4 linked regions of the Schizosaccharomyces pombe genome follow. The gene in region 3 interacts genetically with the main gene of each other region. Each region holds a gene or a part of one and is shown on either strand. Other genes may lie near its edges.

Region 1 (7,367 bases), on a different chromosome or scaffold from region 3:
TCTTCGGGAAGATCAATTGCAGCAGGTATGTTATAGACAAAACCTCTTATCTCAAAATCTGACTCCTATTATAACTAGATTGTTGACAAAACCATTATGGAAGTTGATAAGGATCGCGATGGAAAAATTAGCTTTGAAGAGTTCAAAGATATTGTCAGCGGTTCCAACGTTACTAGTAGCATGACACTCGATTCTTTTTGATGAGCATACTTAAAATTAAAACTGATCCTTGTTTCCTCCCTTCTTTCGTTTTGTCGAACGCAATTACGAGTTTGACTAAAGATTCCTTTTACACATTTTGTTTTATCGTCTTCATTCCTTGCATCTGTATTTCGAATTTTATAAATGCATACTATTACATTTCTTTTCCTACTTGCTATTTTTACAATGCTTAATCTACCAAAAAAAGTTTGTATGAATTGCGTATCGAATTTTTACTATAACCTGTCATACAAAAATCTTGAACACATAACTTAGATTATTATGCTTCTTTAGCAATACTATAATTCTCAGTCAAAGTTGTTTACAGAATAGAGTAAACGTCTTAAATATTTACAAATTCAAGGCGTTGTAAAGTATAAACATTGAACAGATGTTCACTTACAACAGTAAGAAACCCATTTTAAAAATACTACGTTGAAAAATTGATGATGAGATCGAACAATAAAGATCATTTACAAAGACGATACAGTATGCATTTTAAATAATAAATAATTAATTATTTTCATATATAGTTTTTAAAGTCATTAGATTAAGAACTTTCATTTGAGCTCTTCTCATCGATAAGCGATTTTAAATCGCCAAGACATTACCAAATAATTACAATAGCATGCAACTCAACGGCAATTTCGTTGCAAATGCATCAACTGCATTATCTTTGTTAACGTAAAGAAAAAGGTTAGGAATGGATTAGAAGGAACCTCAAAGACTTAAAAAAAGAGGAATGAAATCTTGGCTCTGTGTCCCCAAGATCCTTTTCCAAATTCCGGCATATCTAAACAATGTCAGGAATCATAAAACCCAAAATATATGTTGTCATCCTAACAAGTCAACTATAAAAGAATTGAAAGAAGGTCATAAATGCAATGAGGGCATAGATAGGAAAAGATTACTCAATTTAAAAGGCTTCTGCAGCAGTCTTTTGAGCAGGCGTAAGTTCGGTAGGAAATTTAACCTTGCACTCAATGATCATATTACCACGTTGAGAAGGATTCTTTGGCAAGGGCATACCGAATCCAGGATACGTAATTTCATAACCAGGTTGAGTTGGTAAAGACGAAGATACTTTAAGCTTCTTTCCATCAATAGTTGAAATTTGCTTTGAAAAGCCCAGAAGTGCTTCCTTCAAGGATAGCTCTACTTGCATACGGAGATCATCACCAGAGCGTGTGAAAACAGGATGAGGTTTTTCAGCTAGCACGAACTGAATGTCTTGAACAGTTCCGTCCGGTTTCTCATCACCCTCACCAGCAAACTTGATTTTAGTGCCAGCTTTCCATCCAGGCTTTACTTTGATCTCCAAAATTCGGTCCGCTTTCACCGATTGACCAGAAGCATCAATTATGTGTCTAGATATTTTCATCTTCTTGGTACATCCGGTAAATAGATCCTCCAGGCTCACGTTAAGGGGTCGAGTGATAACCTCGTTTTGAGCGGGGGGTTGACTAGGACGGGATCCACCAAAAGATGGATGGCTACGTCTGGCGTGAGGACCTGCTCCACCACCGCCAAACATATTAGCGAATCCGCCAGGCATACCACCTCCACGAGTCCGCGTACCAAAACCTCCATCCATGTCCATATCATCGTCCATACCACCCATTCCACCCATTCCTCCGCCCATGCCTCCACCGCCAGCAAAGGCATGACCAAATACTCTTTCAAAAATGTCGTTCGGATCACTGGCACTGAAAAATTGAGCTCCACCTGGGCCACCCATATTAAAGTGGAATGTTCGAGCTCCACCAGGTCCGGCGCCTGGGAAGCCGCCAAAGCCTGCACCAGGGCCACCTTCAGCACCCGGTGGTGGTGGAGCAGCATTCCCTTCTGTGATACCGTATTGGTCATAAAGCTTACGGCGCTGGGGATCGCTCAATACTTCGTAAGCAAGAGAAATTTCTTTAAATTTCTTCTCACCATTAGGATTTTTGTCTGGATGGTATTTAAGTGCAAGTTTTCGATATGCCTTCTTTAACTCTGCCTCAGAGGCCTCGGGGCGGACCTCCAAACAATCGTATAATTTGGTATCTGCTACCATGATGTTTTGTAGTAATTGTTGTTTTTTCTATCTGTGTGAAATATGAAAAAGGAAAGTGCGAGTGTAGATGCTTTATCAAACACAAACACAATATAAATCGTTATGGTGGAATCAAAAAAACGAGAAAAATGAAGAGAAATAAATAGAAACGAAAAATCAAACAAAAGCGAAGCTTTTTCGGTTTATTTGTTCTCGAATAAACGAAATGAAAGTTTTATTTTTCCACTTTTCTTGTGTTATAACTCCTTTATATATATTTCGTAAGAAAACCTTACAATTCAAATTGTACAATGTTCCTGAATTTTCAAGAAAAATAGTACCAAAGTAGTGTATGTAAAGTCAATAAGAAATACTATTCTTTCGACCAAATATTAATGGAATGTAAACGTTGCAATACACTCTAAATATCGTTTGGAAACGAAACAAAATGTGTGAAGACAGTAGATGTTTTTGTACCCGCTGGGACGGACCATATACCATGGCATGATGTAATGCTAGAAACTTCGAGTATAAGCGAGAAACTGATGTGGTTTAACGAAGTTTCTTAAATGCACAATGTAAAGTGGTAGAGTTCATTATTGTGTTTAACGACGCTATAATGGGTTAACTGTTTATTGAAAGACGTATTGTATGTATTTGTACAAAATATAAATTGATTGCGATATTTTTATATTACAATTCTACAAAGCGGCAGTTACTTTGAGATAGTACTTTGTTATTAATCTTCAGAATTTTTTTCAGCAATTTCGAATATGGGTATATCATTGTAAGTATACTGTAGTCTGGTTATTGCTTTTGGGATGTGTGTGTAAGTTACTATAGTTGCCATAAAATAAATGTCTATTGCAATTTCGGTACTGTGGTAAAGCATGCAGCCTTATAATTTTGTACTGCTCAAAAAGACTACGCGATATACATATAGTATAAACCCTTCAACATTGCCGAGGTCCATGCCGAAAGCGGCATATAAAAGGCCAAATTTTTTTAAATTTTTGACAGTCAATAAAAATAATCAGAACTAGAGGAAAGAGATTCAGAAAGGCAAAGCTTCTGAAACACTGAATTATTTGCAATTGTCCAAAATATAGTCAATTGTGATGGGAAAAAACAAGAAAACAACGTTACCGTTGTATGATTTTCAATCATTCATCGAGTAGTATAGCATAACTATTCTATGGAATACAAGTCCATTCCAAACATTTTGTTCAGAAATCTCTAGATAGAGGGTGGAATGTCAGTAGCGGTAGTATGTGCAAAAGAAGAGGCTGTGGGCGCAGGAGCGGCATTTTGACGAGAAACGCTTTTGCAAATACGGATCACATGAGGAGTGATATAGGGACGGATCAAGTGTCTGTAGATAATGGTAGCACCGTTGAATTTAGGCAAAGCAAGCCAAATCAAGAAAATAGCCTTGAGTAACCAATACACAGCTAAAAAGGAAAATCCCCAGTTAGTAAATAAAAAAAATAAATTTAAAAGCAGAGAGCAAAATTTATTAGATCCTTAATGATCTTATAATCACGCCTCTAAATACAAAAAATTTAAACACTTACGGACATAGTAAAGGATTAGCTGAGACCAGTACTCAATAACGTTGAGGAATGAAGTTACCAAATAATAGGTCAACCATTGAGTGTCATCGGCCTTGTTAGTAGTTTCAATAGCATTGATACTAAAGAAGGCAGGCATCGCGAATGCCAGAAGGTTGGTCAGTAAAAATCCACCCCAGTTCAAGAAAAGGAACAAGGCATATATACCAGCTGCAGTAAGAAAAACATAAAGCTTGCTAACACCAAAATTTTTTTCCAAACTGTTGAGTTGAGGAAAGGCTGCCAACTGGAAAAAAAAGTTAGTAAACAAATTTGAATAGAAAGAATAATTTCTAAAATCACAAGATACTAATAATAGCCTATATTGCCGAGTGCGTAAAGCGGCTTCCATCGGATATCCTGCCTTATTGCTAACATACCCTGTTATCCAAATCTTGCATATTCTGCTTAACACGAACTTGAAAAGACATTTTGGTACTGCTTAATTAAATTATCTGAGTGTTCAATAATTTTTCTTTTGAACGAACTATTTGTCTTAGAATATGGGAGTTGTTTGCTAAAGATAAGTTTGCATTTATTCTATCGGTGGTAGTGAACAACGTCACGATTACAGGCATTCGCTTCGTACCGTCAGTGTGGTATATTAATTAGTGCATAGGAAAGTCGCAGTAAATACGATACTGTATAGTACAAATACAATCCGATTTTCAAAAGAATTGCCGTATGTATTTTCAGCCGATCAAACAGTCATCTTGTGTTTCTGTCTAAGTTTATTTACTTCATTACCAAAGCATTTAACAGTAAAAAAACCATAGCAAAAATGAGCGATTTACTTCCACAGTATGCTACGTTGTATTGTTTTAACCAAACCATGAACAACTGGACTATGCAGTTCGCTAAAGTCAAGCCCTGCAAAATATGTACGGTTGCATTATCTAAAGTTAAGGAGGACAACCGAACTTTACGGTTCTCTGATTTAAAGAATGTCTACATTACATACAAGTCTGCATAGATATATATCACTACCAACATTACTCTTTCAATTGTAATTAAATTACTACTAAATGTAAACAAGTTTTGACTTAATAAAGTAAATTTTTAATTTCTTATTAAATTTATAGTATCGGTAATTATCAAAAACTCGTGGATCGAATAAAAAAACCATCTCAAGAATAGGATGGTGTCTAACTGTTAAAAACGGCTTCTTTTATCTATTTCAAAATTAGTAAAGAATTTTCAAACTTAAGACCAAAAAGTTTTAAGCAAATGAAGAATTTCATCAGTGTAACTATGACAAAATGCTTTATCACTGCAAGAAGGCAACCAAAACGATTACCCCGTTATCCTTGCTATACAATTTGGGTATATATTTCGCATCCTCTGAAATCTCCATTTGTGAAATGATGAAACTTACCTATTTACTATTTAGATGAGCACACTCCAGGTGAAAGAACTATGCAAAAGCAGAAAGCACAGTGCCCTTTATATTCTTCTTAATGTGACTGTTTTTTTGGGGTTTTCAAGAGAAGATATCATAAAATAGCATACATAGCTGTTAATCAAGGATAAGAAGAAGTAATGTTCATCGAAAATAATTGATAGATTAGTTTATTGATATTGTTAATCATTTGAGTAATTTCTGATGTTTTCGTTATAAGGATATGGTTGCTTCTTTGACTCAGTAGGATTGTTATCTGGTTTTTAAAATCGTTACTTGAGAAAATCCCCTAATTTAAGGAATTTTTATATGTTTGTTGGGATTATAGCTGTCTTTGGCTACTGTTAACTGTTGTAATGACAATAGTTTTGGTTTATCTTTCTTACTTTAGACCTTGTAGAAGCACCGGTAAATGTCAAGCAAACTTTTCAAACTGTAAAGTGTATACAGTCTTTAACGACATAGAATTATAGCATCCGTCAACAGCTAAATAAATTATTCGTTTGTCTGTAAAAAATAAAATTGATAACGATTGCTGGAAATTTAGAATCATTGGGATATATTAAGGATGTACCTTCCCACGAAGAAAACACATTCATGAGATGTTTACTGAGACCTGCAATGATTTTTTTCATTCCAATACGTAAATGTTTATTTTTTTATGGGCAAAAGTATGCATTCGTAGATACAACTCTTTTTGGCCGTTGTCAAGCTTAACAGATGATACAATGAAAATAGTAAACAAGGTATTCCCAAAACAGACGATATCTCATTTTCCAAGAGAAAAGTATTAACTTAATAGCTCCAAGTTCATCAAATTTTTTTTTGGCGATTGAATAGTTGTATAGTTTAAAGAGTTTACTCATACTTGGCAATGGAAATGCAGCATACTTGTTATTTAGATCTTCCCAGATCCTCAATTTCAAAATCTAAACAGCTATGGGTAAACATATGCCTCCTCTCTGGATTAATGAATTAAAGTTTTATATGAATATACCCATGAGAAATAAGGTGGATACAGCAGCAACTTTCTGCACACACTGCATCAATTGGGTTTTGGAACGAAACCAAGGAATCAATATATAAGTTTGAAGCACATGAAGGCATAAAAAAAATTTCGTCTTGAGTTCGATCTTTAGAGGTGAAGTCAAAGTAAAAACTTGCGAACCCAGCAAATGCCAAAGATGGAGGGTTTAAACTTCAATAGGTTCATCCATCAGAGAGATGTTATGAATTTCTGATTTATTTCGTTCAATGGCAGCTAATTCTGCCTTTTTTATTGTACCAGATACACGAACCACGCGAATTATTACAGGCTTGCCATATAATTCCCTTATTAAAACTAATGCGGCCCATGCCAAACGAAAATGCTGTCTTGAGACCCGCAGAATGCCAGTAGATGTATTAGGTGAAAAATATTTTACAGTTAGACTAGATGCAACCTTTCCAATACCAACATCACCGAAATTTTCTGCAACCATGGTTCTAATTATTTTAGAAAGACTAGACGTAGTTATAGAACTATCAGAAGGGATAGTAGGATAGTCAAAAAACTCTTTTGCTTCAGGATATAATACTTCAAAAAGTAAATATCGGGATTTGAAGCGAACCATAGTTTTACGATATATATATTTTTTGTAGTTTAATCAGCGATTTTGATTGAAATATGACCTTTGAGACAAATAATAATAATAAATTATCGTTATGCTATAACAAGAATAAATAATGCTGGAAATGGAATTGCCCAAAAATGGATCGTAGTGGGTATGAACGTTGCTACTTATTGCACACCGGTTAGAGAAATGTAACTTGCTCAACGAATAAATTTCTCAGAAAACAGTTTATAGAGACGTCTGTGTTATAATTTATTGCTTTTAAGATTTAATGGAATAGAAATTTAAAGAAAAAATCATATTATCTAACAGGTGTTTACAATGAACGATTAGAATTAGTCGTAAATTTCAATATGTTTAATTGCTTTTGCTACATTGCCATAGCGGTAGATAATTTGTTTAAGATTAAGTAAATGGTATTTGGTTATAATTAGACTAGAAGACATGCAAATTCTAAATGCACGATAATCATGCTTACGACACAGTAAACATTCATTTTTTAACTTTAA
Region 2 (7,444 bases), on a different chromosome or scaffold from region 3:
AGGGAGAGAGAGAAGAGAAGAGAGAGAAGAAGAAGGAGAGGAATGGAAAGAGGAGGAAAAAGTAAAAAATAAATGAAAATAAAAATAAAAAATAAAAAATAAATAAATAGAAAATATAAAGTAAATAAATAAAGTAAAAATTAGAAAGAAATGAAAAAGAAACCAACTAAGAAAGAAATGAAACTTCAGTAGTAAATATGTAAAAACAATAAAAATTCTAAATGAAATATATTCTTGAATATAATAAAAAAAATAAATAAATAAATAAATAAAAAATTTGAAATGAAAATTCACTGTAAACAAATTTATCAGACTCATTTTGTATATGATGCATAAATTAATACTATTTAATTCTTTTTTTTTTTTTTTAATATTTTTTTCTATCATCAATAAAACCATTTCCTACTTTTTTTTCTATACTTCCACACGATAGTACACAAATAAAACAAAAAATGAATGAATTCAGAAAAAATGGTTGAACGAGAATTGATTACAAATAGATTTCATTAACCATTTTATTTTGTTTTACTTCACTTTTTATTTACTTTAATTTTATTTTATTTTTCATTCCTATTCATCCTTTTTATTCCTATTATCTGTTGCTTTTCATTTCCTCCTTTGCTTTCTCTCTTGTCCCGCTACAACAATCCCTAAATAACCTTAAAGCTTTTACTGCTCCCACTCTGCCCATCTGTCTCTCTCGTTCTACCTTCTTCCACCATATACCGCACTTTGCTCCCTTTCAATAAACCTCTTTCACTCTCACTGATCCATAGTACTCTTTTTCTCTTCTTTCACCTTGTTTTACTCTCCTTGACTTTCCTTGCATTTCTTTGGCTTTCCTTGCACTTCTCTCCTTCTCTCTATATCACATACCGAAACAAATTCTTTCACCCCTTTCCTCGTTATTCAGAAAATTTCCATCTCTTTCCATATTTGACCCATTTGACTAGCTAAGCATTCTTGCTGTGTCTAATTTTACTTTTTGCTCTTTTCGTTTCCCCTTTTTCCTCCTTCGTAATCCTTCTTTTTCGTACTGCACTCCCTTGCCTTATACATGTACCGATGCCATACTCCCATCTCATCCCATCCGATAAGCGGCAGTCGCGACCAGCTCATGCTGGTGATGGTAACGAGATTTGTCCAACAATTCATTAAACATCATACTGTGGAACAAGACCGTACAGCAGAGTGCAGTAAAGGATTTGCTAAAGGAGAGAAGAACCCGACCGTTTCAGTAGAGTAGAGTAGAGAGGAAAGAGGAAAGGATGATACATCATTACTTTGAATACGATACAACACAATTCTTTCAGTACAATGTAATTCACTTCTATGCAATGCAGTCCACTTCTATGCAATTCAGTCCAGCGCAATGCAATTCCATACATTTCATTTCAATTCATAATTTCATATACTAGCATACGATGAGATGTCCAATTTATTAAATACGTTTTCTCTTTCTCCCTCCCTTTTCACGAAAAGGCAAGAAAAGCCTTCTTGTTCATCATACGGTATGCTTGCAATTTTTAAGTGGGTGTAAATAAACAGACACACAACGCATAATGAGATGATGAAGAATTTCAATACAAACTGATTTGTACAAAAAAAATTAAATTATAAAAAGAAAATCTATTCAATTCAATTCAATTCGTGAAAAAATAAAAAAAATAAAAAATTCGAAATAAAATTACATTAAATTAATTAACGTAAACTGAAATAAATCAATTACTAAATGTAGAAAAGGTATGGTCTTATTTATTTCATCATATATATATATATATTTTTTTTTGAAATACATTTGCTTTGATTCTTAAGAAATAAATTTTTTGTCAAAAAAATTTCCAAAAAAAAAAAAAAAAAAAAAAAAGGCTTCAGAAGTTTGAATGAATTTTGTTTCTTCAAAGTTTTAATTGATTTCAATTCCTCAAATATTAAATAATTTTTTAAACAACAAATTTCTTCGTGTTTTACTCACTTGTGGATGATTCATCATTTCTCACCGTTACTATTCCTTTCCTTTTTCAATCTTTAATCCTTTCTTTATTCAGTTGTATCCTTTTCCTTTTCATCACTCTTATCCCTTTCTCCTTTACATTTTACAATCAAACTCCATACTTCGCTCTCCTTTCAACAAACTATCCTACACGAATTTATTTATCTATTTCTCACTTTTTTTTCGCCTCTTGTAGCCTTTCCTGCACTTAATCATTGTTTTCCCTTTATTTACTCTTTTTTCAATATCTCTAGCTTTTGCAAAAGTCATCCGTTTTCGCTCGTTCTTTCGTTTTTCATCCATTTTCATTGTTTCTCTATTCATTTCCTTCTTTTTCATACCATTTCACCCATCTTTTCATACCATTTAACCCATCTTTTCCCGCCCATCTTCTTCCTATTCTTCGTTTTTCTTTTACCATCCAAAATTCTCTTTCATTAGCCTGCTGTAAACCGATTATAAGCATGATCGCTATAGTCGCCGCTGACACAGACTTATTGAGCCAAGAACAACGTCATTCCATGATCAACGCTATGACTGCTATCTAACCACCAACCACCGACTTGACTTTTACCATATAAAAGCAAAGCTTTCCAACTAACAACTTTCTAACAGTTTCGTAAGTGAAACATATTGACTTTCCTCTCAACAACTCGTGAAGGTCTCTTTTTGTATTTACCCATTCTACTTTTATTTTTTCTTTCGATCAATATCTCCCTTAAAAGTTAACCCTTTTGGAACTTGGCTTTGGATTTAATACATATACATTTTATTTATCCTACAGCAAAATCCAAAAATCTTTTATTCACTTTTTTAAGTCTTTGTTACAAAGTATTTCGCTCTTCCGAAAAGTCGTCCTTTACTAGCTATTTTCTTTAGTCGGCACTTTTCAGAATTAGTTTTCTTTAAATTTTCTCTATTTTTTACTATATCTTAAAAAAAAAACACTTGCACCCTTTTTTAGTTTAAAAGGTTTCTCTTTTTTTTTAAGGCTTCTTTTGATTCTTAGTAACTGTTTTACCTTAAGTTGTTATTTTAAAATTGAATATAACACGCAAATCATGTCTGAACAACATTCATTAAACCCCTTTGAATCCGGTTCCGTCACTGCTTCCGATGTCGCCGCTGCTAAATCCGGTGCTGAGGACCTTGTAAATACTTTGACTGCTCACACCGTTCACCCTTCCACCGAATTGCCCTCTGCCACTTCATTTCCCTCTGCTCTCCCCAACTCTGAGAATCCCGTTATTCAAAACATCTCTTCTTCCTCTTCCGAGCCCCACCACACCTCTCAATCCACACCTGGCGAGACAAGCAGTCCCGTCTGCCCAGTTTCCGGCGCTCACGGAGGTGCCGACAAAAAATGCCCTGCTTTGGAGGCCGGTTGCCCTTTTACCAACACTACTAAGCAAAACGTCGATCCTGAGATCTCTAATGCTTTGTGGTCTGTGTTGACTTGGAAGAACACCTCTTGCAGTTTCTCTACCTTGATGAGTATTCTTGCTCTCGTTTATGTCCCTTCTTGGATCAATCTTCCTCGCCTCTTTTTCAGAACTTTCCGTTATGTCTTTTTGATTACCTCCATCATTGAATTCGGTGGTCTTTTCGCTTCCAACGGTAAGCGTGGTGTCTTGTCTCACTTCCGTTCCTCCTACATCACCTGCGACTCCAAGGCTCTTGATAGGATTGTCAACTCAATTGTCGACATTTTCAACGTTATGTTGATTCAATTCCAACGTATCTTGTTTGCTGAGAGCCCTATTTTGACCTTTACTGCCTCTGTTGCTGCTTTTATTGAGTTTTTCCTTAGTGGCTTCCTTTCCTACAAGTCTCTCTTTGTTTGGAATGTTTTGTTTGCCTTCATCCTTCCCAGATTGTATGTATGCAATGAGCGCTCTATCAAGCATTTGGTTGCTTCCCTTGAGAGATCTGGTGATAAACTTAAAAAGCAAGCTACTGAGACTATAAACACCACTGTTAACAAGTAAACCTCTGCGGGATAATTTGTTTGATTGTTTCTGTCAGGTTGCGCTTGATTTTTATTTGGTTCGCTTCCTCGTTTATTTTAAGGTTTCAATAGTATCTTTTGCAAAAAAATGCAAGGGTAATAACCATGGTTTTGTTTTCAACTTTGAAAATGTGTTGCTGTGTTGTGTTGCGTTTCAAAAGTGTTGTATTATGACTTGAATTAGGAGATTGAATGCGTTTTCTCAATTATTTTGCTTATGACTATGAGTGTTTATTTTCATAAATACGTCTTTCTCATCTCGATATATTGTAAATGTAACAGGTTCGGCTCAATCTCTCATTTCTCTTCTGAGTTGCAAACTATTGCAGTGTGGTTGAAGTTCTTGTTGCTTTGCTCAATATGATGCTATTTTATTATATTTTCTCTGCTTCGTTTAATACCCAACGTACTTATTATTCGTAATTTAATCTCGTAATTACTCCGTGTTGTTTTGTAGGTCCTCCTCGTATTCCTTATTGCTGCTCTTTTCGAAAAAAAAAATATATATATATATTTTCCATAACTAAAATGGGTCTGTGGACGAAAAAATCTATTTTGTTTAACCAAATGACTAAAGTATTTGTTAACCAAAAATTATTATTTTTTTTCCACTACTTCGTATTTAATACAGCCGATCATACAGTAAAGTGCTGATTACACTCGCATGATCGTTGTCTGCTCTCACCACAAGTCATTCACTTATATCAATGTTGTGCCAGCTTTTTACGTTTAAGCTCAAAATTTCCTTTGTATCCATATATTAGGATTATTGAAATTCAATTTATTGTCAATTTATCATGCCGCAACGCTATTATACATGAGTTCCAAGAAAGTCAAATACAATCCTCGAAAAAGCGCATCTCAAAATGAAGCTACCTCAGCTTCAGCAGGTAGCAAAGCTTTTGGATTTAATTCCGCGAAAAAGGAGAAACTTCATAGAATGGCGCTGTCTATGGAAGCAATTGAAGATGTTGAGGATCAATCGTTCAATGGCAAGTCTTCCAATCTAGTCAGAAAGCGTCGGGGTTTGGATGAAGACATTGATGAATTTTCTTCTTCATCAGAGGATGAAAGAAAGCCTGCTCGACATCCTCAAAGCTCCTCTCAAAAACCATTTGCTAGCTCTACATACAACGTAGAGCTTCCAACATCTCCGACTAAAATTACCAATATCGGTCAGTCAAGCCCTAGAGCATTGCGCTACCTGTCTCCAGAATCTCAGAGAATAAAAAACGCCAAGATGAAGTCGCCTATTTCAACACATCTGGCTAAATATTCTATTCATCACATGGGTACTCCACCATCTAAACCGTCATTCTTGAGTTCTAGCGTGTCTTCCCCTGCATCTAGTAAACAAAAATCACTTTTCCAGTGCACAAAAGATCTCGAGAAGAGATATATCAATCGTGTTCATCGTTCATCTGAAACTGAGCTTGTGCAACTTTCTTCCATTAAAGTTCTCGATCGATTTCTCTCTGACATATATCTAGTTGAAGCTGAAAAAAATGAGGAAAAATGCACAGTTTTACTTCTAAAACGTTCTAATACTGATGTAGACAATAGTAGCTCTCTATCTCTTACTTTACCTTTGTGTAAATTTACCAAAAATGGGCATCAAGTACACATACATCCTTGCTGATTCATATATAATGCTTTTTGCTATATTTACACAAAGCGTAAAGTTCATTGTGATATATTTATTTGTCATATATATATATTTTTTACAAGTATCTTAATCTACGACATTTATGAAAGGTGGTTTTCTGTTTAATCTAATTAATTTTTCAACCTGAGGTTCCTGCGTACCTTTTAGCAACCCATTTAAACGGTTTAGCATGTCAACAGTAGCATGGCTTAATTACTATTAATTACTTAAATTGTTTATAAATTAGGCTTTAAAAAGATTGAGAAAGGACATCTATGGTTACCCTTTCCTGTACACTAGAAGACCTTCTTAATCCATTTACCTTCATACGTATTCATCACCAACCAACCGCTCCTTTCATAAAACTTTTGAATGAGCACAATAGAAGCAATATATCTTGTAGACACTAATGGGTATGCGTTAGCTGTTTATTTACTTTATTAATCAAGTTGACTAGGGCGTTACTACTCCAGTTGGAGTCTCGAGGAAGGACATCTCCCATAACGTTAGAACATATAAAAAACGAACTTTTTCGCTACAAACTTCGAAATGAGGAGCCTCCATTTATATTACATAACAAAAATTTTTTGATATTTCAAGAGTTAGAGGAAGATGTGCGTTTGTGTATTCCTACAACTTGCGACACTGAGCCTCTCTACATTCATGATATTATGAGACGCATTGTGGATGTAGTTAAAACATTTTTTGGTGGGTTTAATGCTTCAAAGGTCGAGAAAAATGTTTGCGTTATTGTCCAGCTATTAGCTGAAATGATTGATTATGGATATGCAACTTGTATGGAACCAAATGCATTGCAGGACATTGTACCACTCCCTAGCTTTATGAATAAGTTTATGGCAGTTACTGGTCTACAAACGTATGTTATTTAGTTTTCTGTTTTTGCAGTGCTAACCGCATGATTTAGAAATACACCGACTCTTGCAAGAGATACCGTTCCTTGGAGAACAGCTAAAGCAAAATATGCAACCAATGAATTTTTTATTCATGTACTTGAACGCGTATCAGCCGTTTACCAGCCTAACGGAAAACTTGCTTTTGGCACAGTTAAAAGTGATATGGAATGCAAATGTCAAATATCTGGTATGCCTTTACTTTTGCTGAGTTTGAGACCCGGCACAAAACTAGGGAATGTTCGGTTCCACCAGTCAGTCAATTTAAAAAGATGGAAACAACATCCGGATCAGATTGAATTCATTCCACCGGACGGAAAATTTACATTAGCTTCTTTTCAAACAGACTTTGCTACCCAGAAATCTTTGCCTGTTGTTGTTGAAGCAAAAAATAAGTTGGATGGAAGGTTCGAAGTACGTATTCGAAACACCGGGAAAAAATCCGTTGAAAATTTAAAAATCCTAATAACTATTCCTCAAGCTCTAAAGAGCGTTACGGTTACCGAGGGAAATTATATTTTTCGTGCTTCCAAGTATACTCATATGGAAGAAGGTATTCTGGAGTGGTCGGTAAAAAAATTAGCTTGGACATCCCCGGCCTTAGTGTTGACAGGATTCCTGGCCCCCTTAAAGAAAGATGCCAATTCAACCGAAGAGTCAAGTAGCTACTCTAAGCTTGAGCACCTTGATTTACAATATAAACTTCAAGGATCAACCCTTCATAATTTTAAAGTAGAGTCATTGAAGATGCTTAATCATCCAGATAAAAAATCTTATAAAGGGGTCAAGCATACAATTATTGCACAAAATGTTTCATTTCGTTTTCGGTAATAATTAATTTACTTTCTATCTACCCGTTTGTTTATTATATATTATTCATATAAATT
Region 3 (8,309 bases):
TCTACACGTGCCCAAAATGAAAATGAACAAGCTAAAAGGCGACAGGGGATTTTGGAACATAAAAGGGGAGGTTCCATGGAAATGAATAAATTTATAGACGAAAGCGCTTATATGGAATGGGAAAAACAACTTGAAAATGCCTCTGAAGATTATGCAATTGAACCATCGGATCTGGAAGAAGAAGTTGATCAATTGTAACGATTTCTGAAAAAGGAAAACATAACACTATGATTTTATTCGTTTGCTGCTGCTGTCAAAGCCTTGCGTTGGTTCGCCTTGACCTAATGTCAGCTAAAAACTTCTAAACAACTTTATATAAACCAACTTAACATATTTTAGCAGTTACAATCAAAAGAATTAATTACCTAAGTTCGTGGGTTACTAAATTGAAAATGAAAATAAGGAAATTTTTACAAAGAATCAATTATATATAATCCAAAACCCTAAGTTCAATAATATAACAGCGATGATACATATCCTTTAGTCAAGCCACTTACTGGGTTGGACATCCTGCAGTTTCCATAGAATTATCAATCAATGGAGCTGGAAGCGGCTTTTCCTGTATTTCTTCTACCAGTTTCGAAATGATATCTGCATCTTTACGAGCATCATATTCGGGACTCTCAAAAATTTGAATACATTTCTGAATTTTCTGGTACTGTTCTTCAAAACCTTGCTTCTCTGTCTCCTTCGCATTCTTTAAAAACTTAGGATAGTTTGCTTCAAGATCTTTAAGGGGTTCATACAAAATCTCTTTACTGGTAACTTGTGACATTAGGGAGTTTAAGGCAGCCTCTAAAGCACCATAGTTAACGGCTCCATTATCCGAATCTTTTTCCGTTGCAAACTGATCCTCTAATATAACATTGAGTAACTGATCATTCTGAAAGCTAGACGAAAGTTGACTCCCATCCAAGCCAGACGGTCCCCCTAAGTCTTCAAATTTGCTCATCATTTCTTGAATAAGTGAATTCAAATTATCGTCATTCTTTATCCTCTCATTCTCTTTTGATGTATTACCGGTTTGTTTATGCTCATCTATGTTTTTCTTCTCTTCGTTCTTAAATGCACTGGGTACATCTAAATCATCTAGGATATCTTTGTTTTGTTAGTTGTTTCCTTTTAATGTAAAGTCCTTTCTACCCTCTCATTATTTTTTATATTTATGCAATGCAAAATTCACTTGAACGAAATATCGTAATACACAAATCGTAGTCAGGACATTACCGATGTTCCATACCATCCAAATCATCAAGGTCGTCAAAATTCGGCTTTGTGTTGCTTTTTGTATTTTCTTTACGGTTTTCGTCTCCCTCAATAGTTGGATTTGACATTCCGTTTATATATCAGATGTCAGCATACGTTTGTCGTTTTTCAAAAGCCTCTTGCAAGTTCAATTATCATGTAATTCACAAAATAAATAAAAAAGTAGTAAGTTCAAAAAAAATGAAAATTTGGAACTGCCAAAAAAAAATAATAAAGTGCTTCTCTATTATTTTTCATGTAGGTAAAACCGTAGTGATCGTTGTTTATCAAAGTATATCAGCGTGAAAACGTTCAAGTGCATTAAGATGCGTTATTTGGTTTCAAATTTGACGCAATTTTAAATCTTCAAACAACAAATTTAATGGAATTTTTTTTATTTACTGGATGTATGAATCGTTTTAATTATTCATTGTTTGTGTATCTGGTATGAATCGAGTACGAAATTAACGATCATAAAATCGTCGACACAAGAACGTAAAGTCTACCCCCTGCTTTTATTACTTGCCTATGATCAGTTGAAATGAAGCTTTGTTTTCATTTTTAGCATCACCAATAAGTTAGAATTGACTACTGTTTACCAACAACAATTAGTTAAATAGTTATTGACTATAACATTGATCCATACGCACAATTACTTCGAAAAAAATTATTATTTTGCTCTTCCAACTTAACGATTTTCTGTACTGCGTTAACATATTATTGTAGGCTTGACACTCAGCTGCGGTGACATTATATTAAATAAAATGTAATTTTTTCAGTAAACAAATTAAGGAATTAAGTAATAGTTTGGTAACGTCTCATGAGAAGAAAACTCTTGAGCCACTAAATTGTTCTTACCATTTTCCATTATCTTTTTTAAGAAATCGAGGTTCTAATTGAGCTGGTATTGCGGGCAATAGAGCTTCTTGTAATATAGAAATTATAATCGACGGTTTTATTTCATTTGGGCTGAGAAAAAAATTAAATTGCTAGCTTTCATAAGTCGATACACTGAGCAATAGCCATCCTTCCGGCTTTTAAAAAAGGAAGCTCATTAACAAAGTATCCTCTATCTTTGTTTTATTGTTACTACTTTTGAAATTTTTTCCTCTTTCTTTTGGAATATCCATTTCTTTGTAATTTTCATTTTCTTTGTTATAATTAATCAGACGATTTCACGTTTGAAGTTGGTATCTTTATTTGTTGTTACTGTTCATTTCCTTAATTCATGGAGACCTTATCTTATTCTCAGATTAAGAAACGCAAAGCTGATTTTGACGAAGACATTTCTAAGCGTGCTCGTCAACTACCTGTGGGTGAGCAACTGCCATTGTCGAGACTGCTACAATATTCAGACAAACAACAGCTTTTTACAATTTTATTACAATGTGTAGAAAAGCATCCTGATCTCGCACGTGATATACGGGGCATATTACCGGCGCCGTCCATGGATACTTGTGTTGAAACGTTGCGTAAACTTTTAATTAACTTGAATGACTCATTTCCCTATGGTGGTGACAAGAGGGGTGATTACGCATTTAATAGAATTCGTGAAAAGTACATGGCTGTCTTACATGCGCTTAATGATATGGTTCCTTGTTATTTACCTCCATACTCTACTTGTTTTGAGAAAAATATTACTTTTCTTGATGCCGCTACAAACGTTGTCCACGAACTGCCAGAATTCCATAATCCCAACCATAATGTTTATAAAAGTCAAGCGTACTATGAATTAACGGGCGCGTGGCTTGTTGTTTTAAGACAACTTGAGGATCGGCCTGTAGTCCCTTTACTACCTTTGGAAGAGTTGGAAGAGCACAATAAAACATCACAAAACAGAATGGAAGAGGCATTAAATTACCTTAAGCAATTACAAAAAAATGAGCCACTTGTACATGAAAGAAGTCATACTTTTCAACAAACAAATCCACAAAACAATTTTCATCGTCATACTAATAGTATGAACATTGGGAATGACAATGGAATGGGTTGGCACAGTATGCATCAATATATTTAAAAACTAGAACAGAAGGCCTATAAGGAAACATATAATGGCTAATAGGAAAGCGGTTTGCACAGTAACTGTGTTATGAATTTGAGGAACAACCTTGGCACCACTAGTCGGACGCCCAAAAGACGATGAAACGCGTGCAAGTCCTATTTGATTTCCACTGTTTCCAGCGAACATAGATGGACTCGTAGCTGTTGATTGTCTTGTGTTATTAATTACATTAGCGGTAGATCTTAATGCATTATTTTCATTGTTAGGAGAAGTGGTAGTAGGCACTGACTGAGGCTTTGGGTAAGGTTCATTTTCAGCGACTGTTGCAGTAGGAGCTTTTACGGCAGTAGATGGGGCTTCATGGGGCTTCTGGTGAGAAACTGCAGATGTTTTAGGAAGCTGGGTATGCTGTGTAGTAGCTGTAGATGGAGCAGCTACGGGATTTGCATGGGTCGAAGGAAGTGCCGTTCCGTCTATTCCTTTAGAGTAAGATTGATTAACATTACCATTTACTGTGGTATAATTGTCAGTGGCAGAAGTAGGAATAGATGTAGTCGTTGTTTGAGCTGGTTGATGGTGAGCATTAGCATGAGCATTTGCAGTACTGGGGCCTTCACTATAAACACATCGAATTTTTCGTTCCGATATATTAGCCTTGCTGACTTGAGTCCACTATTAAAGTATTGGTTAGAACATCAATTATGTATGGCATGTATTAAAAAAGTAAATGTAAGTATATCTTTTATCACATACAATATCTGCTATATCCATTCCCTGTAATTCTGGCTTCAATTCAGTGCTCTGGACCAAAAATTTATCGCGGCATTTTGTGCCAGGAGCCGGTTCGTGATCTAGAGGCTGTAGGATAACTATTAAAAAAAAAGAAGTTAGTAAATGAAAATTTACAGCAATAACTAATGAGCACAAATTATCTTCCAGTGCACGCACAAAAACAATAAAAACTGTTAGTTTGCAAAAGAAAATCACGTTGATGACAACGTTTTTGTTCCACCCGACAACATCAATGATGGGAACCGCTTAAACGAATAAAATCAAAAAATGCAAATGAGGTTCAAAATTAAATATAAATTATCTTACCTTCAACACTTACAGCCGAATTGGCTTCAATTCGACCACCGTTGGGTCTCACACAGTACTGTTTAGGAGCAGTAGTTTTCACTTTGAATCCGATCGGATAAGGTGCAGTATTGCGAAGTTCTAAATCACATTTTACTAGTCGTGTAAGTGGTCGAGGAAACACAATTGTACTATCACATTCAAGAGCCATGATTTACGGGAAAGGCGAGTTTGTTGCGAGAGGTGGTACTACTTTACTCTGCGAAGTACCATTTCGCAGTGTAGCCAAAAATCGTGGCTTTACGTCACACATACTTGTGTGTGATTTTCCGAGGCTGAGCAAAGATTATGGTAATATATGGATACTGAAATAAAAGGAGATAATTATTCAAGTAACTGTTTTCATCGATATTATACAAAGCCTTATAACGATATTATTAAAATAAATGTGATATTTTGAAAGTAAAAAGTAATATATGCTAAAAAATATTTTGCAGTAGGTGAATAATGTACGAATGCAGTATGGTTATAAAATCCCAATAAGTATATGGATTTATTGTTTGTGAAATTAATAAATGATATAAATACCCAAAAAGGATGATTCAAGTTATCCTTTTTAATTTCTAAATGTCATGTTAATGCGTTTGAATTGTCTTAATTACAACTTAAGAATGCAAGGATGAAGTAAACATTATGATTTCAAAAAAAAATTGCGCATTCGTTTACACTTTCTATTCAAAGGAAATACGTTTTTTGGTTTAGACAATCATTAAATAGATATTGTATACTTTCGTTAATGGTCATTATGCTAGGGAAAAATCAACATTTTTATTTCAAGGAATATCAGCGATGCTTTAGAAAGCATACCATGTATAAAGGAAACGAATTACTCGAGTGGATGCCAACTACAGGATCACGAAAGTCAGTAATCATTTTCAATCATCGGTCTGCGGATGTCGTGCAATATATACAATCATTTATTCTTCTAATTCATAGCGTAATCGGTGGTAACTACAATTATTTTGTTTCATTTGACCTGTCATTTCTATTTCAATGACCAACAAATTTATAATGCTCTCAACTGCGATGTTTGGTAATACGATATTGTAGATATTAGCACGTTAGATGTTGAGTCGATGGAACGTAGGGCTATTTTTGAGCGTCATTGTAATTTGCCTTTTGCAACTACAAACTCTACACAAAAATGGTTTTGAAATGTTTGGAATGCGATAAATTGCTTTCCTCCATCGAAATGGCTGAATTTCATAGTACCAAAACCAGTCATGATCAATTTGAGGAAACTGAAGAAGAGGTATGTATAGATTTTACTCCTTTTACTTTTTGCTGAATGGTTGAAGCGTTCGAATTGTTAACCATCCTTATTATTATAATTCACGAAAACAATAATTTGTTTCACTCGATCCTTTCTTTTTATTAACAACGATTATAAAACATAGATTAAGAAGCGTTCTCCCGAAGAGTTAAAACAAGCTATTGAAGCTTTAAGAGAGAAAGCAAAGGAGAAAAAGGAAAAAGAAAGGATTTTGGCTCTGGAAGAGAAGAAGACAAATTATAAAATCCTTCAAAAATCCAATGATGAAACTGCACAGGCTATGAGAAAGATGCAGGATCAAGCCCGCTTACGTGACTTGCAAAAGATCCGTCAACAAAAGGCTGAAGATGCTGAGCAGCGTAAGAAAATCCTCGCAGAAATTGAACGCGATAAAAAACGACGAGCTGCAGAACGGGAAAATAAGAATTCTTCTGTAAAAGAAACGGCTGCTCCCATCAAGCAGCCTAAAAATGCCAATTCGTCTTCTACTTGTACTCGCACCCCTCCTACATCAGGCAGATTTTCTATCCGACACGATGGTCAAGTTTGTAATATAACTATTGCAGCTGAGGAGACGCTACGCCAATTGGCACAACAGGTCGCTGAGAAAATGAACGTGTCACCGCCAACTAAGTTTACCACTACCTTTCCCCGTGCCTCATACGGCACTGATGTATTTGATAAACCGGTTAACCAACTTGGTAAGTATCAAACTAGTGTTTACTGTCATCATGTGTGACATTAGAATACATGTTTTTGAAAGAATATTGTGTTGCTACTAGCATCTAAACGACATATCTTTGTTTCCTCTGAAAACTTTGAACTATAGACATGGAATATATTATTAACGCTTGCATAGATTTGTTTCCCTCAGCCGTTCTTATTCCGCAATGGTAAAGTTATGACCTTTTGATAATTATGCTGTGTTAATAATGATTACGATACTTGATAAACTGGTAGAAGATATATATATCAAGGAAGATGGTGCTGAACGCGCCAAGTATCCAAGGCAGGTTAGCATATGTGTAGTTTAAGTAATCGGAGGCGGGAAATACGAGAATGCTGAAAGCGTATGAAGTGTTTCCTACAGAGGCCAACACAAAAAAGATAATGGATAATCCTTCGGTAGACTTTGCTTTGTGATTCTTGATGATTTGAGGAATACGAGCACAGAAGTATAACACAGAACTGATACAACCGGCAGTAAACGGCCATGCATTCAAGTCATCATCACTCTTGTCAGAAGAGGCACTAGAAATAATTAAGTTTCCAACGATTGTCGAGACAATAACCACACATCCCATTACACCAAATTGTTGACGGGTAGAAAGGCGATCCCACCAAATTTGTTGTTTACCAATGGGTGCATGAAGACCTTCTTCTAATGAACGACTTTGGAGTAAGGGTTCGTGTTCACGACTGGCAATACGACGGGCAGCTTTCCAACGATAGTAGTAAATTTGCATAAGTAGGGTACTGTCAGAGACAATGTAATAAAATGAGAGAACCAATACAGTAGAAGAGACATTTCCGTAAATGGAACCAAGTACATTGAAGAAATCGCCAATAAGCCAGATGATTAAAAATAAATCAGAGATACTTTCACCAGACTGGTTTTTATAATTTTCAAGTAATTGAGGGATCAGTAAAACGACCCAACATCCCAGGGATAATGCTCCTAAAAATGAAGACAACTCCGTGAGTATGTTAGCCATATCAAAAGAAGGAGCTATCACAGACATGGGACAAAAATGCTTGCGAACAGATAATTTTAAAATGAATTTGAGAAGAGCTTGTCTAAGCTTTTTATGGTCAAAGTTTTTTATATGAGTGTGGAGGACAATAAATAAAAAGAACGGGAAACAAAGGGCTACAAAAGCGAAGCAACCTGAAAGGGAAATCAAACTATTAATTTAATAGGAATGATAAGCAATTATTAAAATTTGTCAACTTCCTCGAACGTGTAATGCTTCAGCACTATAATATTCGCTGATTTATTTTAGCGATCCAAGAGATGATACTTAATGAAAATTCGTTACAAGTATTTTTTTTTGTTTTAAAAAATAAACACTAAAAGGAATATCTATAATAATAATAATAACAATGGTAAACAATATTTCTCCCACTGTAAAGAAACAGAAGAGATTTGGTGGTGAGTTTGGCTCTGGATAAGATCAACCTCCCAGCCGTCCTGTTATTTATTTACCTCGGGCAAGGCTATATAGAGATTTCAAGATAAGAAAAATTTGCCGCCCATGCAGTTTCGCAGAATTAAGAAAGTGTCCGTGGATTTACAGATACAATTGATAGTCAATCCAAAGGTATCATTCTAAAGAAATATAAAGGAATAGTAAGCGAAATAGATTTTCCTTCGAATAATCCTATTTCACTTAACAATATAATTCTCAATGTAAATAACAGTCGCATTAATTTTATCAATGTCAAGCTAACTCGTTTTTGTTATAAAATTTAATACACCATAATATCGCTAGCAGTATTAAACATTGAAATGTTTACGTGACTTGTTTGATTCTCAGATTATTTGCAGTAAAAGATGTGCTAATTCCATGATTTAATTTCGAGACTATAAAACTCTATAAAAATTTCTTACAAATTGGGATTTTTATTTTTTTTTCTAAACAAGGGTAATGA
Region 4 (6,962 bases), on a different chromosome or scaffold from region 3:
TGAACATTTGTAAACTAACAAATGCTTCACATACAGTAATTAATCGTTTGTCGTAATTCCAAGAATTTACGAGTGTAAGGTCTAATAATCATCGAAAGAACTACTGTTCACAGGCAAAAGCGTTACTTCATTCCATACTTGGTCTTAAGCTCATCAACGAAAGAGATATACTCAGAAGCAGCGTCTTCTTTCGATTTTCCCTTAAGTTCTTCCCAAGCATTCCATTTGAATTTCCCCTTAAGATCTAAGAGACCTGGCTTTTCAGTGTTGTTATCACCAACAGTGGCTTGCTTAAATAATGCGTAAAGCTAGTACAACAAATTAGTAAGCTAAGCTACAAAAAAAGGGGGTTAAGAAAAAAATACCTTTAATAATTCATCACTGTTAGGAGTTTCCTTTAATTCTTTAACGTCAGCGGCAGCTTGCTCGAAAGTAGAAGACATGGTTGTTGCAGGTTAAAGACCGTGTGATTATTGACATCCATTATATATATACATATATATTATCCGACCTACAGAGTTCGAACCCACAGACTTTGCAATACTCAGGTTTTGCATATCATAATATAATATATTTACATTTGTTAAATATGACAAGAAGTTGCTCGGTCTAATATCGACAATACTATATAATCCCCAATTGAATTTTCACTATATTTACGAAGAAGAAAAGAAATTGTTTTTATATACCGATACTTACCAGTGGTTTATAAATAAAAAAAAAAATTAAATGCACAGCATACAAAATGTCAAATAGAAATACATTTATAATTTTGAAACGATTTTTAAAACGGTAAATTTCTTCAACTTGATTAAACTATGCAAAAAATAAGTATGAAATATGTTTTCAAAATCTAGTCGGGTCATCAACGTATTAAATATTCAACTCATAACGGAGTAAATATCTTCAACGTATTCATTTAAATGCTTTAACGAAGTTGTTCCACTCTTATTGTGGTCACTTCCTGTAATATCTTCATTTGCAACTATTGATTCGTAAAAATTTTGAAATTTACTGACAACTTCTTCTCGAATAGCCTGCAAAAACAGTTCGATGATCCACGTTTCTGAAAGGTAGAGTGAGATTTGCTGTCTCAACTCAGGAAACTTTTGAATTCGATTTTGAAACTCGGTTATGCTTTCGAGGTTTCCGATACTTAAGCATTCCGTGTAATGTATAACTGCAGTTTCGATATACCCATTTACTGCTACACGTAACTGCTGGTTAAGTTCCTGCCTGGTATCTACGGCATTTGTAATAAATTTAGGAAACGTTTCGTAAACAAGTTGTAAGACGCCTCTCAAGTTAGAACGCCATTCACGAACACTATCCCATACTTTTCGCAGATCAACGCCAGCTTCAATACAAGCATAATGTATATCGAATGAGTTCAACTGGTCTTTTAAAACCAAAAAATTTTTGATTAGAAAAAGCCTTGCTAACTGCTTATCATTGTTCCGGCTAAAATAGCGGTACGCATCTACCAAGGAACGAATGCAGGAGTGCACGAGTTCAAGGGCTATCTCGTCAAATACTTGAGACTAAAAACTGTTAATGGATAAAGTCTAAATGAAACACGTACATTCACCAATCGATAGATTTTCGACAAAATAATTAAAGATTTTTGTACTACCGGATACCAGCCTTGAGCCATAGCAAGTTTTTGTGGAACATCGGGGTCTAGCTTTTCTTCATCATTATTCAAGCGTAACTTTTCTAAGTCGAAGAGCAAACTTTTGTCATCTGCAATAGGATTTAAATCTTCTTCCGTAGGGGAATATCGTTGAATATCGGTTTCAATGGCAGTTTGTACCACAAATAAAAGACGCTCTTGCAACTCAAGTACAAGAGGATTAAGAAATTCAACGACCTTTTTATCAACGTCCTCCCTTTCCCCTTCTAAAATGGCGTTTTGAAATGATTGGATATAAGAACACACCTCGCAAAGTTCGGTAAGGTTTTTTTCATGCAAAATTAATGAACGACTATTTTCAAAAAAGCTTTGACAAAGATTATTCCAATAATGCATAAATCGAAAATCATCCATGATAAGAATTTCACGGAATAACTTATTTTCATCAAAAAAAGTAAGTTGTAAAAGAGCAAGTGATTTTTGGATCTACGGTATCATTAGTTAATTATATATGTTTCGTTAAACATACATAGCTTGAAATGGATTTCTCCATAAAAAAACTTTTCAAATGATAATCCAGTACAGGTTTCAGAAGCCGCGTGCGGCATTGAAAATAGACATCATAAAAAGCAGGAAGAAAAGCATCTAAACTTTCTTTAGAGCATAATTTACATAATTCAGTGATAGTGGGGCAAAGGTTATGACCTACAGCACTAAATCGGGCGTAGAAGAGTGAACTATGAAGCTGTTTGTGAACATCCTAAATAGTTGTTAATGATTGGGGAAAACAAAAACGCCCAAAAGTATATGCCTACCATTTTTTTGGAATCCTTTAGCACTTGATCAGTAGTTTGTTTAATTATCCGTATAAAATACGGTTTAAATATATCCATCGCTTGAGATAGCAGTTTCTTGTATTGACCAAGGTAATGCGGACTTTCTTGAAAATCCAACTAAAAAGTCAGCTAAAATAAAAAACATGGAATTTCGTACATTTTCTTCAAGGAACATGATGCAAGTATTTAATTGAGTAATGTGCTCTTTAAAGGAAACTTTGCCAGCAAAGTCAGGAGGTGGATGCCGAAAAACTCGAGTAAGCTCTTTCAAAGGAGCAAAAATTGTTAATCCTTTTCTTATGCCATCGGCTATTTCGGAAAACCGCATCTGTTCAAGGTGTTAGTAATGATAAGTGGTATGCAGCACGCTCCTAATACCTCATCTGTACTAAGGTTCTCACACATTTCAGAGAATTCACTCAGCTTTTTTTCAGAACTTTCAAACTTTTCTTTCATTGATAACAATGTTGACTCAATGTTATTAGTCTGACCCAATATCTGATCAATAATGTTTGTAAACGTTTGAAGTTCATTAATTTTTTTTTCCGCGTCTTGCTCAATAGAGAAAGTAGGTCTAGAAATTATCCATATGGGGTTCATCTTTTCTTCAAATGGAAATAACGACTGCTTTTCTACGGTTGAATTATTGGGATTAGGCAGAGAAAACGGACGTGCCGGTAAGCTTGAAGAATCATTTAAAATTTCCGTTAAAGAGTCGCGTCTTTCCTTAGAAATGGAATGCACTGTTTCGATATTTTCAAGTTTGGCGACTTCGGGTAGCTAATTGGGTAAGCCCTTGTAAAAACATTTATCTAAGCTTACTTTTATATCATTTTGAGTTTCATTATCCTCATAGTTGACAGCAGGATAAAACTCCAACTGATCAAACATCGTTCAAAATAATTACGATAATCAGAAAAACATCGAGCACTTTGTTGGTGTTTCCCAGTGAACCATAACACAGCGCTACGTTACTTTGCGCAGATGCTAAGAAACAAAACGCATTAACATCACATAAATTCAATTGAAACTGGTATTTTATCCAATGTAAACTAATAACTTGCTAGATTTCAAGAGTGCGCTGCTATACATGTGTTTATTGTGCTACAAAATTCAATAAAACGTATTATTTTTACCTCTTAATCTTTTAATACTCAAAGAGTTTTTGGATAAACAACATATATCCATATTTCAATTTCCTTGAAAAAAGCTAAACTAAAGTCTGAGGAGACCCCCCAAACAAAGATAACTGAAATAGAGGAGTAGTGAGCAAAAATAAATAAACGGAATTATCTCAAACAAGTTTTTAGAGAAAGAGGTAAACGGTATGAACATTCAAAATTTACTTGGGTGAAATAGAAACTACTCGTTAATAGTAAAGAACTCAAAAACCAGGAGCACTTAGACATATTAAAATCACACTGATTGGTGAAATTTATATAAATCTCTAGCAATCAAAAGGAATAAGGCATCACTTTAAGTAGATGAGGGAGCAGTGGTAGAGCTTGATGCAGTGGGACGGCTTTGAGCAGTACCTACAGGTGAAGCACCGAACTTGGACACATAAGTTTTGAATGTATGCCAAGCATTTTTGATAACAGGAGGAACTCTGTTATCTGCAACCAAACGATCCATTCGAAGGCTAACGGCTTTAATGGATGCACGAGTAAAGTGACTATTAGTGTATCTCATGCGAAGAAAGAAAATATAGCCCACCAACCTGGAAATTGAGTTTTTACGTAAGAAAACCCCAAAGAACAAACGGAACAATAAAAATGTTTCGAGAGAAGCAACAAGTTGCATAGCAGGTTGAAATTGGCTTCGAGTGTACTGATTTAGCAAATTAGAAACACGAGAAGCATAAGACGCAGTTTTCGCGTCAGAAATATTAGGGTAAATGGCAGGCAAAAGCACACTACGCAAGTAAGTGGAGATGTGGAAAGTGGCGTAAATGGCATATGGAGCGAGAGAAAATAGGATGGGACGATCAATCAACATTGAAAGAGCTAAAATAAAATACTGAACATTGTCATCGAGCATAAGACGGGCAAAGAAATGCTTATTCCAAGAAGCACGGGAAGTCAAGTTTGGACTATAAGTTTTGTAAAGGACAATTGCATATGCAACGATGGCACCAAAGGCAGCGCTTTTAAACAAAAATGGAGGAGCGGAACGAAAAGGGATTGCTTGAAGAGCATACAAGACGGAAGAGATTAGCACTATTACTTGCCCCGAAAACCAAACAAACTGGGTGTTCTATAATAAACGGTTAGTAATGTATTAAAAGAGTGAAGACAATATGACACTGAATCAAAATAAAATAATGCTGACAAATTAGTCTATGTTTTAGTAATAGATTACAGTTACGTTATGGAACTAAATAAGAAACTTTTCTTATAATCAACATTTATTATCTGATTTACACATGATAGATATATTTACCTTGACAACAGGTAAAACCCTTTCTTTTAAAGGCTTGACAACTCGTTGTTTTGGCTCCATTATAGCAAAGTTGTTATTTTCAAAGTTTTAAAGATGTGGCTTTTGTTAAGTTAATATCCAGCAAAAAGTATGTTGTAATAGTTGTGATAGAGTACAATGTACGCTTACCAATGGAAGATCCTAAATTTTCCTACATCAGAAAAAGAAAACCTATGGAACTTCTGTGAAATACGCTAGTACACGTTTTGACTAGAATTCTTTTAGCAGGAATATAAGCGCTTAAAAAAGGATTTACGCCTTTGAGTAGCATTCAAGCTATTACAATTAAATAGATTTAAATAGGGGCTACACTCTTTAGTTTTCTAAAATCCAATTGTTTAAGTCTAGCAGACACTCCAGAAAGCTAACATAATTCATTTACGACCCTTGATAACAATGTACAAGAAGCTCTGACTAAAATTTTTCAAAGTGAAATGCTAAAGTACGATGTTGTTTGTTACGCTATCTGTTCTATGTTTTACATGGAAACAATAAATGGATTAATTCTTGCACATTTACTAGTGGACAATAAATGGTTCAGATTCAACATTACTATATCACACTTGTATTGCTCGGCAACCTTCAATAACTTCTATTTAAAAATAACTAGCAAGATCTAAACTGGCTCTAGAGTATTCTCGAAGATAACACTTTGTGGATTCCGTTTTGAGTCCAGACGTTCTGTTAACAACATATCCATACGTAAATTGTTAAGTTATTTGTTGGCGAAGACGAGTACTATAAACGAATTTTGAGAAGCTTGGTATAAGTAAATGTTAGACTGTCGAAGTAATACGCCCTATATGTGTTCATGCCAAAAGAAATCAATAATATAGTTGACAATTTGAAATGCAGTGTATAATTTAAGGCAGTAAGAGACGAAAGTAAAGAGGGAAAAGGAAAATCATGTACTGTTATCACTTTATTCTTCGTTGATTTTCTTCTTCTTTATAATCCCACTATATTTGGTGGATTCATAAACTCGGTTGGTCCATGTTTATTTTAATTGATTTTCGTTAGCTATCTTAAAAGAAATTGGGCGGAAGATGCATCATAATGTTTAAACCAGTTTAGTCTGATCAGACACTAGTAAAAACGAGAAAACAATACTTATCTACCAATGAGTTTTCAGGCATCTATAAATATCGTTCTAATAAAAATCGAAAAAACAATCACAACTAACAAGAAAATCTTTTAAGAATTCTCAATCTTTATAACAGTCAATTTTCTTAAATCTAAGCTAATGCTCGCGAAATTCTTTGGTAGCTCTGAGTTAATAAATCAGAAAGACAAAACAAATCATTCAGGTTGAGTACATTTATACAGTAAGATTCCAACCAAAGCTTCCATATATGATATCTTTTGTAAACTTAAGGAAAGAAATAACGAAGCGGAATGTAAACATTTATTAAGTGTTTATACGTTCCAATACGTTAGATCTTATTATAGCGATTATAATATCAATTTCATATCTATCGCCGTATCGTTAATGTGATATAACAATAGGTTGCGATAAGGAAGAGGTTACACGGTCATATAGCCATACTCTCAAAAGATTAGATAAATTAAATTTTAAGTAGTACTACCTCCTTTTTGCGTTGGTTGAAAACTTGAAAAACTGACTCTGTTTTAACAATTCTGAATGGCTTCTTCACAAAAACTTTGGGGCGGTAGATTTACTGGCGCCACTGATCCCTTGATGACAGCTTATAATGAGTCTATTCATTATGACAAGCGCATGTTCAATGCCGACATTGATGGCTCGAAAGCTTATGCTAAGGCATTAGAACAACGCGGAATCATTAGTGCTGATGAATTGGATAAAATGTTAGATGGTTTAGAGGCTGTCCGAGATGAATGGAAGACAAATAAATTCACTCTTCAACCTTCTGACGAAGATATCCATACTGCTAACGAGCGCAGATTGGGAGAAATAATTGGTACAGGCATTGCTGGTAAGCTTCATACAGGAAGAAGTCGCAACGATCAAGTTACGACCGATATGCGCCTTT

The links.
Region 1: of scs22 (region 3) and yop1, changing one suppresses a phenotype caused by changing the other (phenotypic suppression), as found in Schizosaccharomyces pombe (one study listed by BioGRID).
Region 2: of scs22 (region 3) and rtn1, changing one suppresses a phenotype caused by changing the other (phenotypic suppression), as found in Schizosaccharomyces pombe (one study listed by BioGRID).
Region 4: of scs22 (region 3) and tts1, changing one suppresses a phenotype caused by changing the other (phenotypic suppression), as found in Schizosaccharomyces pombe (one study listed by BioGRID).

What each region holds. Positions count from the first base shown.
Region 1 is NC_003421.2:2,192,836-2,200,202, forward strand, and holds yop1 (ER membrane protein DP1/Yop1), read right to left. Parts: upstream 4,366-7,367; 5' UTR 4,278-4,365; coding exon 4,227-4,277; intron 4,094-4,226; coding exon 3,811-4,093; intron 3,688-3,810; coding exon 3,473-3,687; 3' UTR 2,958-3,472; downstream 1-2,957. Other genes in the region: cnb1 (calcineurin regulatory subunit B), read left to right, coding at 1-25, 79-201; DNAJ domain-containing protein Psi1, read right to left, coding at 1,118-2,257; Rnase P/MRP subunit Pop5, read right to left, coding at 6,439-6,858. UniProt on the Schizosaccharomyces pombe protein: Required to generate and maintain the structure of the tubular endoplasmic reticulum network and the vacuole. Induces high curvature in membranes and causes membrane tubule formation. Involved in membrane/vesicle trafficking.
Region 2 is NC_003423.3:1,259,215-1,266,658, reverse strand, and holds rtn1 (reticulon Rtn1), read left to right. Parts: upstream 1-3,054; coding exon 3,055-3,981; 3' UTR 3,982-4,361; downstream 4,362-7,444. Other genes in the region: protein dbl7, read left to right, coding at 4,819-5,640; AP-3 adaptor complex subunit Apm3, read left to right, coding at 6,019-6,059, 6,104-6,523, 6,572-7,388. UniProt on the Schizosaccharomyces pombe protein: Required for the correct positioning of the cellular division plane by delimiting the actomyosin ring assembly at the cell equator. Overexpression causes cell lysis.
Region 3 is NC_003424.3:4,475,377-4,483,685, forward strand, and holds scs22 (VAMP/synaptobrevin-associated protein family protein), read right to left. Parts: upstream 4,576-8,309; 5' UTR 4,536-4,575; coding exon 4,346-4,535; exon of another isoform or gene 4,174-4,345; intron 4,117-4,173; coding exon 4,001-4,116; intron 3,920-4,000; coding exon 3,266-3,919; 3' UTR 3,263-3,265; downstream 1-3,262. Other genes in the region: protein dhm2, read left to right, coding at 1-198; protein Pex19, read right to left, coding at 494-1,098, 1,241-1,334; nuclear proteasome tethering factor Cut8, read left to right, coding at 2,474-3,262; SPOM_SPAC17C9.11C (zf-C2H2 type zinc finger protein/UBA domain protein), read left to right, coding at 5,529-5,636, 5,782-6,358, 6,517-6,554; G-protein-coupled receptor Stm1, read right to left, coding at 6,584-7,399. UniProt on the Schizosaccharomyces pombe protein: Vesicle-associated membrane protein-associated protein (VAP) implicated in maintaining the cortical endoplasmic reticulum (ER)-plasma membrane (PM) attachment.
Region 4 is NC_003423.3:4,366,398-4,373,359, reverse strand, and holds tts1 (tetra-spanning protein 1), read right to left. Parts: upstream 5,019-6,962; 5' UTR 4,972-5,018; coding exon 4,912-4,971; intron 4,813-4,911; exon of another isoform or gene 4,726-4,812; coding exon 3,946-4,725; 3' UTR 3,544-3,945; downstream 1-3,543. Other genes in the region: acb1 (acyl-coenzyme A binding protein), read right to left, coding at 123-308, 366-443; COG complex subunit Cog3, read right to left, coding at 882-1,541, 1,583-2,119, 2,163-2,393, 2,449-2,586, 2,627-2,797, 2,848-3,249, 3,292-3,360; arg41 (argininosuccinate lyase), read left to right, coding at 6,593-6,962. UniProt on the Schizosaccharomyces pombe protein: Required for the correct positioning of the cellular division plane by delimiting the actomyosin ring assembly at the cell equator.